Linked DNA regions of Saccharomyces cerevisiae S288C. The gene in region 3 interacts genetically with the main gene of each other region. Each region holds a gene or a part of one and is shown on either strand. Other genes may lie near its edges. The genes, in order: ALG8, ERO1 and KEX1.

Region 1 (3,787 bases), on a different chromosome or scaffold from region 3:
ATAAATAATTTTATATCACTTTTTTTTTAACGTCCTAGGGAAGCGATATTGTATCACTGCCATAGTAATTCGTCAAAATTATATAACCACGATAAGGCAAACCACGAGCTGATTATACCTAATGAACAATAGACACTATATATCATTAATCCTAAGAATTCAAATTTTTGCAAAAATGAATATCTCCACTTGACTTCATCCAATATTTGTAATACGGTGACGATTGGTAACAATGAAAAGATGTACGTTAATGCCAACCTATCCAAGAAAAAGATTCTTCTTTCTACACTTGAAGAAATCTTCGTAGTTTTTCTAAAAGCGGCAAAATAAATTATACACCAAACATAAGTGTATAATGTTTTAATGAAAAAATCTTGGCCTTTGTACAGAAGAGGATACAAGGAAACATAACCAGCTGAGGCAACTAACATAAACGGTACCAAAAGACGACGATCAAATCCAACAAGAAATGTGAACGGAATGATGACTAGCATTATAGCTTTCTCATGCACATGCCACCCGAACAAAAACGATGCCAACCCACAGAGAGTCAACGAGCCAACAAATCTTTTGAACGATGGATCAAACAAAAGTGGAAGTACTGCTAAGACCTGGTAAAATATCGTCAAAATAAACGTTAATTTTGGAGGAATTTGAGGGAGAATAACAAAAAATACGTCTTGAACTAGACCTTTACTTCCATTGTTGTTTGCCGCGAGCCTTTCATTAATTTCCTTGATATTCTGAGGGATCAGAGGAGGTTTAATAAATTTTGTAGCAAAAGTGTGGACGTACGGTAATTTCAACATTACCGTAGTGAGTATTTTATCCATAAAAGAATACAACGCCCAGAAATTTGGTGCCCAATATGCATGCGTCAGTCCTCTTGAGAATGGGAATAACCTGCTCAACACTTGCGGCATTTGATGAGCAAATGGAAGGAAACAAATAGTGAAAATTCCAACAACAACGGTAGCCAACTTCAAAAGATTTGCCCATCTTATCAGGAACAAAAAATCTTTGTAACTTTTAAACTTGAAATTGTTGACATTGAGAACGTATGCTCTCAATAAAAACACGAAATAACATGGCGCCAAATATAAAAATATATGCTTGAAACATATGGCTGTAGTATACAGAACAGCGCACAAGATGTATCTCTTATTCTTGGCGGCGACAATGGAGCCTATTAGAATCGCAAAAAGAAAACCATTATATTGGAAGTGAATGTGATCTATTATTAAAAACCCGGGTGATAGTACAATGCTAGAAGCAACCACAAAACTTTGAGATCTTTCACTTAGCTTTGTAGTATTAATGTATATTTGAAGGATGACAAATAGAAGAATTTCGCTGAAGATGACAGTGAGTCGTTGGAAAACGATTGTTGGCAAACCGAACTTTCCGATCTCCACTATATCCAAACAACCGTCATCACGTACAGATTTAGGAACAAATTGCGATAAAAACCATTCAAAATAAGCAAAAAATGGCGGATAATCCAATGTCCATTGACTAGTGTGCTCATAATACCATTCGCTGATGGGCAATTTATTGGTGATTGCCAGCCAATTTCTATGAACGTCAAAATCTGTACTGAAGTAGTCAGGAATCAATAGTAATTTTAAAAACAATGTGCTTATCCAGAAATTCCATAAGGAGTAGCGCTTGGATCCCTCACCTTTTTCGGTCGCGGCAGTCTTCAAAACCTTTTTTGGCTCGTCATTTTTTTTTAACTTTGCCTTCTTTGTCACAGCCATATTTTGCCTCGAACGATCACCTTTCATCGTAGGCTATCCAATAGACGTCAAATGCCTTGCTGACCACTACAGAACTGTAATGAACTTCAGCTATTTTTAACGTATGTTATTCTATAATTCTATACCACTATTGTCGTTTTGAAAAATGAAATTTCACTTTTCGGAAGTTGTCCGCTAAGAACAACTAAGTGATAACAGTAAATTTTAAAAATGCTTTGAAAAATGGGTTAAGCAAAGGTTATTTACTATAACTACGTAGTGAACGAAACCATATATCTCTTAATTTGCAGCAGGGATTTTATAAACTTTCATACATCCTGCAATAACAAGCCATGGACTACGAGGATAATCTAGAAGCACCTGTTTGGGACGAACTAAATCATGAGGGAGATAAAACTCAGAGCCTCGTTTCAAATTCAATTGAATCAATTGGTCAAATATCTACAAATGAAGAAAGAAAAGACAATGAGCTTTTAGAGACCACAGCTTCATTTGCGGACAAGATAGACTTGGATAGTGCGCCAGAATGGAAAGACCCTGGTTTGTCGGTGGCTGGTAATCCGCAACTAGAGGAGCATGACAATTCCAAAGCTGACGATCTTATTAATTCTTTAGCCCCTGAACAGGATCCGATTGCTGATCTCAAGAATAGCACTACACAATTTATTGCAACAAGAGAATCCGGTGGCGCATTGTTCACTGGAAACGCCAACTCTCCCTTAGTTTTTGACGATACGATATACGATGCTAACACTTCACCAAATACTTCAAAAAGCATCTCTGGAAGAAGATCCGGCAAACCACGAATTCTGTTTGATTCCGCCAGAGCTCAAAGAAACTCCAAACGCAACCATTCTCTGAAAGCGAAGAGAACAACTGCTTCCGATGATACCATCAAAACACCCTTTACTGATCCCTTAAAGAAAGCTGAAAAAGAGAATGAATTTGTTGAAGAGCCATTGGACGATAGGAATGAAAGGAGAGAAAACAATGAGGGCAAGTTCACAGCTTCTGTTGAAAAAAATATCCTTGAGCAAGTGGACAGGCCTTTATACAATCTTCCTCAGACAGGTGCTAATATTTCAAGTCCTGCTGAGGTCGAGGAAAACTCAGAAAAGTTTGGAAAAACCAAGATTGGCTCAAAGGTGCCACCAACCGAAAAGGCTGTGGCTTTCAAAGTTGAAGTTAAAGACCCGGTCAAAGTAGGAGAGCTAACATCCATTCATGTGGAGTATACTGTAATCAGTGAATCATCATTACTTGAGCTAAAATATGCACAGGTAAGCAGGCGTTACAGAGATTTCAGGTGGCTATATCGTCAATTGCAGAACAACCATTGGGGTAAAGTAATACCACCACCACCAGAGAAGCAATCAGTAGGCAGTTTTAAGGAAAATTTCATTGAAAATAGAAGATTTCAAATGGAAAGCATGTTAAAAAAAATATGTCAAGATCCGGTTCTACAAAAGGACAAAGATTTTCTACTCTTTTTGACAAGTGATGACTTTAGTTCAGAGTCTAAAAAAAGGGCATTTTTGACTGGATCTGGCGCTATTAATGATAGCAACGATCTGTCAGAAGTCCGGATAAGTGAGATACAACTACTAGGTGCAGAGGATGCTGCCGAGGTCTTAAAAAATGGGGGTATCGACGCGGAATCGCACAAGGGATTTATGAGTATATCGTTTTCATCACTGCCCAAGTACAACGAGGCAGATGAATTCTTTATCGAAAAGAAACAAAAGATTGATGAACTGGAAGATAATTTAAAAAAATTGAGCAAATCTTTGGAAATGGTCGACACCTCAAGAAACACCCTGGCTGCATCAACAGAAGAATTCTCTAGTATGGTAGAAACCCTAGCGTCTTTGAACGTGAGTGAACCTAATTCGGAACTGCTGAATAATTTTGCTGATGTTCATAAAAGCATAAAAAGCTCTCTTGAGAGAAGCTCTTTGCAAGAGACTTTGACGATGGGTGTGATGCTGGACGACTATATTAGGTCATTGGCAAGCGTAAAAGCAATT
Region 2 (3,700 bases), on a different chromosome or scaffold from region 3:
CGTAAAATGGACAAGCTAATAGCAAAACGAAAAAACACGTTGTCACTTCTATATAACTTTGCTTAAGTAAGTATTTTGTCTTTATAATGTTACATACTGTGAAATACACTCTTTAGAAAACACTATTTCCTCACTCTCGGAAGCAGATTTCGAAGTTCTTCCTTACTTCTGAGCTTTGCTTCTCCTTCCTTGCGATTAATGTTACCCGGTATACGAAATCGGAGAGGATCAGAATAAATGCATTGAAAGGAGCATAAATCTATACAGCGGTTTGGCAATGGTGAGAGGAAGAGAACAAAAAATAGAACGCAGATAGTCATGTCCAAATACGCTTGGTATACCAGAGTTACAGATACATTACATCGTCTAACGGTACTGACGTTGGTTGGTGGTACGTTATACATGTCGGGTGGCTTAGCTTACACTTTATACATGAACGGTAAGAAGTACGAACAACAAGTGACCCAACAAAAGGCACTTGAAGAAGACAATCAACAACTGCAAAGTCCTACTGCACCTCCTACCGAGTAAACTGCGAGAACCCAGTGCTAATAAAATGAAGAAAAAGTACTAGATTACATTTTTAAGTGTTGCACTATATTCTAAGGGCCTCCATCGACGTAGTGTGCTGGTTCCACCTTCTCCTCATTATCATGCCAATATTTACGAACCTGTATATAATAATTAAATCATAAGAAACAACAAAAATAAATAACATTGCTGCCGGATTCCCGTAGGCAAAACTAACATATATATCGCTGCATGCCTTCCTATTCCTTATCAGGGGAAAGACTGCCACTGAGGTTTGAGGCCAAAGGCTGAAACACTTTTCTTCTAAAATGTCGTCTATTCGCCATCTAGTTTTTTATCTGACTATTTCTCGCTGTTTACTTTTTCTTACTGCCATTATGTAGGCCTTTTGAGTCAGCTTTGTGAAGAGATCTTATTACCTTAATTCTTGCTGAAAAATACATCGCAATGAAGTCACTTTCGTGATGGAAAGAACACGGCGGTAAGAATACGTTCCTTTTTGTGCTGTGTACACCCGTAAAATTGTACATTATTTATTTCAAAATATATAACAGGATCCCTCCAGTGTGTCTGAAATGATGCAACTCTGATACTTCAGAGTCGTACCCTTATTAAATACTAATGCCGAATATAGTCATCCAGTAGCCATAGTTCACACACACATTACTTATTCACCACATAAAGAACTAGAAATGCTTGCTAAATATCGTACCTTGAAGGTAAACATTAAGGCCCCCCAAAAGCATATATACATACTGGCAACACAAAAAAAGTAAATTGCCAACCACCTACCTTACATATGGTTTGCCCATCCTACATTACCAATACTATCAAGACATTTCTTCTGAAACATATTCACAACTGAAACGAGATCATTTTCTTATCTATCTATTGAGTAATGCTTACTTTTCATATTTTCAATGAACAATAGGATATGTAGGAGAATTGATATATTCACTGCGTATCAGAGAAAAGGTCTACTGACATTTTATGGCAAATGTATTCTACACAAATCGAGAATACCACAGACAATGGTACAAGACATACACAAAGAGAAGACTGTTCTAATTAAACAAATAATATTGAGCTACCTGCTAAGTATGTCCTTTTCCCTTTGTCCTTTGGTTTCTCTTATAGAAGACCCTGGAAATTTTTCGCATTTTTCCGGCTTTGGGCGTTAGTAAGAACAAAAAGAAAAGAAGAGAACAAAAAAGAAACGATACGGAGTACGTGTCATAAAAACTTGTTCAATCATCCTTGAAGCTAAGTATAAAGAGCTTGAAAAGGTTTACCACTTAAACTGGTTATACTATTTCAAGAGTGTAAACATTTTATTGCATATACCACAGTAACGTGCAGGTAAAACATGAGATTAAGAACCGCCATTGCCACACTGTGCCTCACGGCTTTTACATCTGCAACTTCAAACAATAGCTACATCGCCACCGACCAAACACAAAATGCCTTTAATGACACTCACTTTTGTAAGGTCGACAGGAATGATCACGTTAGTCCCAGTTGTAACGTAACATTCAATGAATTAAATGCCATAAATGAAAACATTAGAGATGATCTTTCGGCGTTATTAAAATCTGATTTCTTCAAATACTTTCGGCTGGATTTATACAAGCAATGTTCATTTTGGGACGCCAACGATGGTCTGTGCTTAAACCGCGCTTGCTCTGTTGATGTCGTAGAGGACTGGGATACACTGCCTGAGTACTGGCAGCCTGAGATCTTGGGTAGTTTCAATAATGATACAATGAAGGAAGCGGATGATAGCGATGACGAATGTAAGTTCTTAGATCAACTATGTCAAACCAGTAAAAAACCTGTAGATATCGAAGACACCATCAACTACTGTGATGTAAATGACTTTAACGGTAAAAACGCCGTTCTGATTGATTTAACAGCAAATCCGGAACGATTTACAGGTTATGGTGGTAAGCAAGCTGGTCAAATTTGGTCTACTATCTACCAAGACAACTGTTTTACAATTGGCGAAACTGGTGAATCATTGGCCAAAGATGCATTTTATAGACTTGTATCCGGTTTCCATGCCTCTATCGGTACTCACTTATCAAAGGAATATTTGAACACGAAAACTGGTAAATGGGAGCCCAATCTGGATTTGTTTATGGCAAGAATCGGGAACTTTCCTGATAGAGTGACAAACATGTATTTCAATTATGCTGTTGTAGCTAAGGCTCTCTGGAAAATTCAACCATATTTACCAGAATTTTCATTCTGTGATCTAGTCAATAAAGAAATCAAAAACAAAATGGATAACGTTATTTCCCAGCTGGACACAAAAATTTTTAACGAAGACTTAGTTTTTGCCAACGACCTAAGTTTGACTTTGAAGGACGAATTCAGATCTCGCTTCAAGAATGTCACGAAGATTATGGATTGTGTGCAATGTGATAGATGTAGATTGTGGGGCAAAATTCAAACTACCGGTTACGCAACTGCCTTGAAAATTTTGTTTGAAATCAACGACGCTGATGAATTCACCAAACAACATATTGTTGGTAAGTTAACCAAATATGAGTTGATTGCACTATTACAGACTTTCGGTAGATTATCTGAATCTATTGAATCTGTTAACATGTTCGAAAAAATGTACGGGAAAAGGTTAAACGGTTCTGAAAACAGGTTAAGCTCATTCTTCCAAAATAACTTCTTCAACATTTTGAAGGAGGCAGGCAAATCGATTCGTTACACCATAGAGAACATCAATTCCACTAAAGAAGGAAAGAAAAAGACTAACAATTCTCAATCACATGTATTTGATGATTTAAAAATGCCCAAAGCAGAAATAGTTCCAAGGCCCTCTAACGGTACAGTAAATAAATGGAAGAAAGCTTGGAATACTGAAGTTAACAACGTTTTAGAAGCATTCAGATTTATTTATAGAAGCTATTTGGATTTACCCAGGAACATCTGGGAATTATCTTTGATGAAGGTATACAAATTTTGGAATAAATTCATCGGTGTTGCTGATTACGTTAGTGAGGAGACACGAGAGCCTATTTCCTATAAGCTAGATATACAATAAGAGCAACACAGTTTATCTTATATGTATTCAATGTATAGATTTCAAAATATAGAGTTTAAATATCATTCAAAATATTCAATAAATTTTTCCTTTGAAAATTTAGGCCACTAA
Region 3 (3,787 bases):
CTTTCCAGATCATCTGCCCATGAAACTGTCTTATTGGGACTGTCATGTTGTCTATTATTTGGATCAACTAAAATTGTGTGACGCGCTTTTCTCCTCACTCTTCTATCATACGCATAAACTCCTAAAACCACTATCAAAAATGTAACGATGGTAACTACTACCGCTTTGTGTTTATACATTGAAATCTCTTCTGCAAATTCTTCTACCTCTTCCTCTTCTTGTTCATATTCTGAAGATTTATGTCTACTATCCTCGAGGCCTTGATTACTTTGTTTTTCATTATTATCGTCTTCATCATCGTCATCGTCATCATCGTCGTCGCCCTCGGAGTTGTGATCGTCTTCATCGTCGTCATCATTGTCGTTATCATCATCGCCATCTTTATCTTTATTGCCTTCTTTTTCCTTTCCTTCCTCATTCTGCGCTTCCTGTTCTTCCTCTTCGAGGTTTTCTTTTGGCTTATCACCGCTTTCAGTAGTAGCATCTTGATCACTATCGTCGTCAGTAGTAATCATAACATTTTTCCCATTGTTGTCAATGATCATAACATCGTTCGAGTAAATATCGACAATGCCTCTACTCACTAAACTTTTATCGAAGGGTACCATGTGAGAAGCATTATAAACGCTAACAAACGTCAAATTTCTATCATACTTCACGTATCCGCTAAATTCTTCGCTGTCGTCTGTACTCTTCGATTTATGGATCCAATCGAACGAAACAGCATCGTCGCTAAATCCCTTTATTCCACCCCATTTTAGATTGTCTATAGTATCTAATACGCCCTTGTTATTACAAATCAAGTCTTTGTCACCATTGAACAAGACAATCTCTATTCCACTTTCAAGTAGACCAGGTAATAAATGGATAGATGGCTTTGAAATAGGATTAGACAATTTAGTTCCAACGCTATTAGTGCATTCCTTCCAATGATCAATTTTATCAGAATCAAGATGCAACGAATCAATAACACCAGGTGTGCTGAAGAATTTACTGACAAAGGAAATATCTTTCGGCCAATTCATACCACAAGATGGATAACTATCTTTTAAATTGAAGTTATACATGTTCAAGCAATCCGCTGTTCCCTTTTGCGAAGATTCCCTGGTATAAGACAATAGAAGGTTTAAAATATTCTCACATTCCTGATACGAAAAATGGGCTGCCTCATCTGTACTGGCAGAGTTTATCAGATTCTGGCAATTCTCGTGTGCGTTCGTTAAGTGTTTGAAATTGGGGTTGCTTTCATCAATCAGTTTCTTCTCCATAGCAAACGGAAGGTACGATAGGGACTGTGTATTGGGGTCAATCCAACCGTTACCAATCAATAGCGCCTTCAAGTCGTATGTATCCCCGTCGATCTTTGAAAATTTGTTATGGTTCAAAATTGCATTGGCAAAGAATGGTATGTATTGGCCAGCGTAACTTTCACCCGATAGTATGATTTTCCTAGTGAGGTCTTCTGGAAAAATCTTGAAATAGTTCTCCAGAAAATCCATAAAATGCTTGGTCACATCTTCTAGGTCTTCGTCAAATTTGTTTTTGTCGATTTTACCTTCGTCTTTATTTTGTTCGACAGAAAACCCAGTACCAGTAGGTTGGTCGATAAATAAAAGATCGCCTTTGGATATCCAGGACCCTTCATTTAGATAAAGTTTACCGTCTGAATTCACCCTAAAAGGGCCGGATTCGACCAAGGCACCATCCATGGAAGAGCAACCGGGTCCACCATTTAACCATATAATTAAGGGACGGTCGACATTGCCATTAGAGTCGTTATTGGTAAACTTCCAAAAAAAGTACTCCAAGTCAGAGCTATCCTGTTCATCCGCATCTTCGGAACGTAAAGGAATATGGCCAGCATGCATCTGTGGAATATTTGAAGGGTCTGGCACTTCAGATAACCCTGGCAACAGCTCATATGCCACTTTGTACTCCTCAGATGACGGAAGGGATACTGAGATCCTTATTAAAGCAGACATGGCTAGCCACGTTCCGAGCCACCTATTGTAAAACATCTATTCAGGTCTTTATCTCTACGGTATTCTATAGCCAAGGTACTCTTTAACCAAAGTATGCTTCAGCAAGCTTTTTCAAATAGATGGGAGTTGAAGACAATGATAAGAAATCGCTTTTCTTAATGTTTCCTATATTATCAAAATATTCCACTTTTTTTTCTTTTTCCACATTGTTTTTCGGTTCCGGGCTGCAGTAAGCAAATATAAATGTTGGTGACAAAACTTGAAAGTTATAGCCAAAAAGCTCGCAATTCCTCACCTAACAAAATGATCCTGTTGGAATAAAAATCAACTATCGTCTATAAACTAGTAGTCACACTACCAGTATATTATCATATACGGTGTTAGACGATGACATAAGGTATGAGAAACTGTCATCGAAGTTAGAGGAAGCTGAAGTGCAAGGATTGATAATGTAATAGGATAATGAAACATATAAAACGGAATGAGGAATAATCGTAATAATATTATGTAGAAATATCGCTTCCCCTTTGAGGATTCCTCTACCCTCGAGGAGAACTTTTAGTATATTCTGTATACATAATATTGTAGCCTTGATCAACAATGAAATGCCTACAATCATCTTAAAATTCACCAATCTCTCAGCTCTTATTTAAGCTTTGTTGAGACGAGAGTTAGTTATCCGACAATACTATACAAGACATTAACATCATTTTTCGTGCTGTTAGGGTGGTGTCTTTTCATTTGTTGCAATAAATGATAAGTAGTTTACCGTCCATTAACATGTGCATTAAATAATAGCATTATGTGAACATAATGTATATTTAACTAAAACTATTATCGAAGAAATCCGAAGAACTCATCCTTGTTAGCTCAGTTGGTAGAGCGTTCGGCTTTTAAGCGCATTTGCTTAAGCAAGGATACCGAAATGTCAGGGGTTCGAGCCCCCTATGAGGAGTTCTTCTTTATTTTTTTCCCGGTTCACTATTTTTCCAAGATTAAACATGGCTCATATACACCATCCAAAAATCTCTTAATTAACCTATAACCATTGTTCTCCTTCACCTCATTCAAGAATCTGGCTTCTGAATTGCCATTGATAGAAGAACAGTACTAAATTGCGCCGGAATAATGAAGAACATCCGGGTTACCTTAGATGTCTTTTTTTCCTTTTTTTATCACATTTTTCACTCTGCACTTTTTCACTTTCTCGAGGTCCAATCTATGACTAATATTAAGCGCATTTCATTTGAAGATATGTGTATCGCAATCTTTTTTCTTATCTTGTAGACCCTCCTATACACATCTCTAGACTATATATTTGGTTTGGTTATATCTTTAAGAACTTATTTCTTTTTCTTATTTTTCCATTCCACTAAGTTAAACCCTGCAGTTGATACAGACATTGAATAGGACAACCGATCGTTACTATCATGACTTTACCTGAATCAAAAGACTTTTCTTACTTGTTTTCGGATGAAACCAATGCTCGTAAACCATCCCCATTGAAAACCTGCATCCATCTTTTCCAAGATCCTAACATTATCTTTTTGGGTGGTGGCCTGCCATTAAAAGATTATTTCCCATGGGATAATCTATCTGTAGATTCACCCAAGCCTCCTTTTCCCCAGGGTATTGGAGCTCCAATTGACGAGCAGAATTGCATAAAATACACCGTCAACAAAGATTACGCTGATAAAAGTGCCAATCCTTCCAACGATATTCCTTTGTCAAGAGCTTTGCAATACGGGTTCAGTGCTGGTCAACCTGAACTATTAAACTTCATTAGAGATCATACCAAGATTATC

Evidence for each region.
Region 1: mutations in KEX1 (region 3) and ALG8 together harm fitness more than expected from each alone (negative genetic interaction), as found in Saccharomyces cerevisiae (3 studies listed by BioGRID).
Region 2: mutations in KEX1 (region 3) and ERO1 together harm fitness more than expected from each alone (negative genetic interaction), as found in Saccharomyces cerevisiae (2 studies listed by BioGRID).

The regions. Positions count from the first base shown.
Region 1 is NC_001147.6:451,676-455,462, forward strand, and holds ALG8 (dolichyl-P-Glc:Glc1Man(9)GlcNAc(2)-PP-dolichol alpha-1,3-glucosyltransferase), read right to left. Parts: upstream 1,788-3,787; coding exon 54-1,787; downstream 1-53. Other genes in the region: VPS5 (sorting nexin 1), read left to right, coding at 2,093-3,787; VAM10 (Vam10p), read right to left, coding at 2,194-2,538. UniProt on the Saccharomyces cerevisiae protein: Dolichyl pyrophosphate Glc1Man9GlcNAc2 alpha-1,3-glucosyltransferase that operates in the biosynthetic pathway of dolichol-linked oligosaccharides, the glycan precursors employed in protein asparagine (N)-glycosylation.
Region 2 is NC_001145.3:11,372-15,071, reverse strand, and holds ERO1 (ER oxidoreductin), read left to right. Parts: upstream 1-1,897; coding exon 1,898-3,589; downstream 3,590-3,700. Other genes in the region: COX14 (Cox14p), read left to right, coding at 319-531. UniProt on the Saccharomyces cerevisiae protein: Essential oxidoreductase that oxidizes proteins in the endoplasmic reticulum to produce disulfide bonds. Acts by oxidizing directly PDI1 isomerase through a direct disulfide exchange.
Region 3 is NC_001139.9:112,647-116,433, forward strand, and holds the start of KEX1 (serine-type carboxypeptidase), read right to left. Parts: upstream 2,019-3,787; coding exon 1-2,018. Other genes in the region: ARO8 (bifunctional 2-aminoadipate transaminase/aromatic-amino-acid:2-oxoglutarate transaminase), read left to right, coding at 3,413-3,787.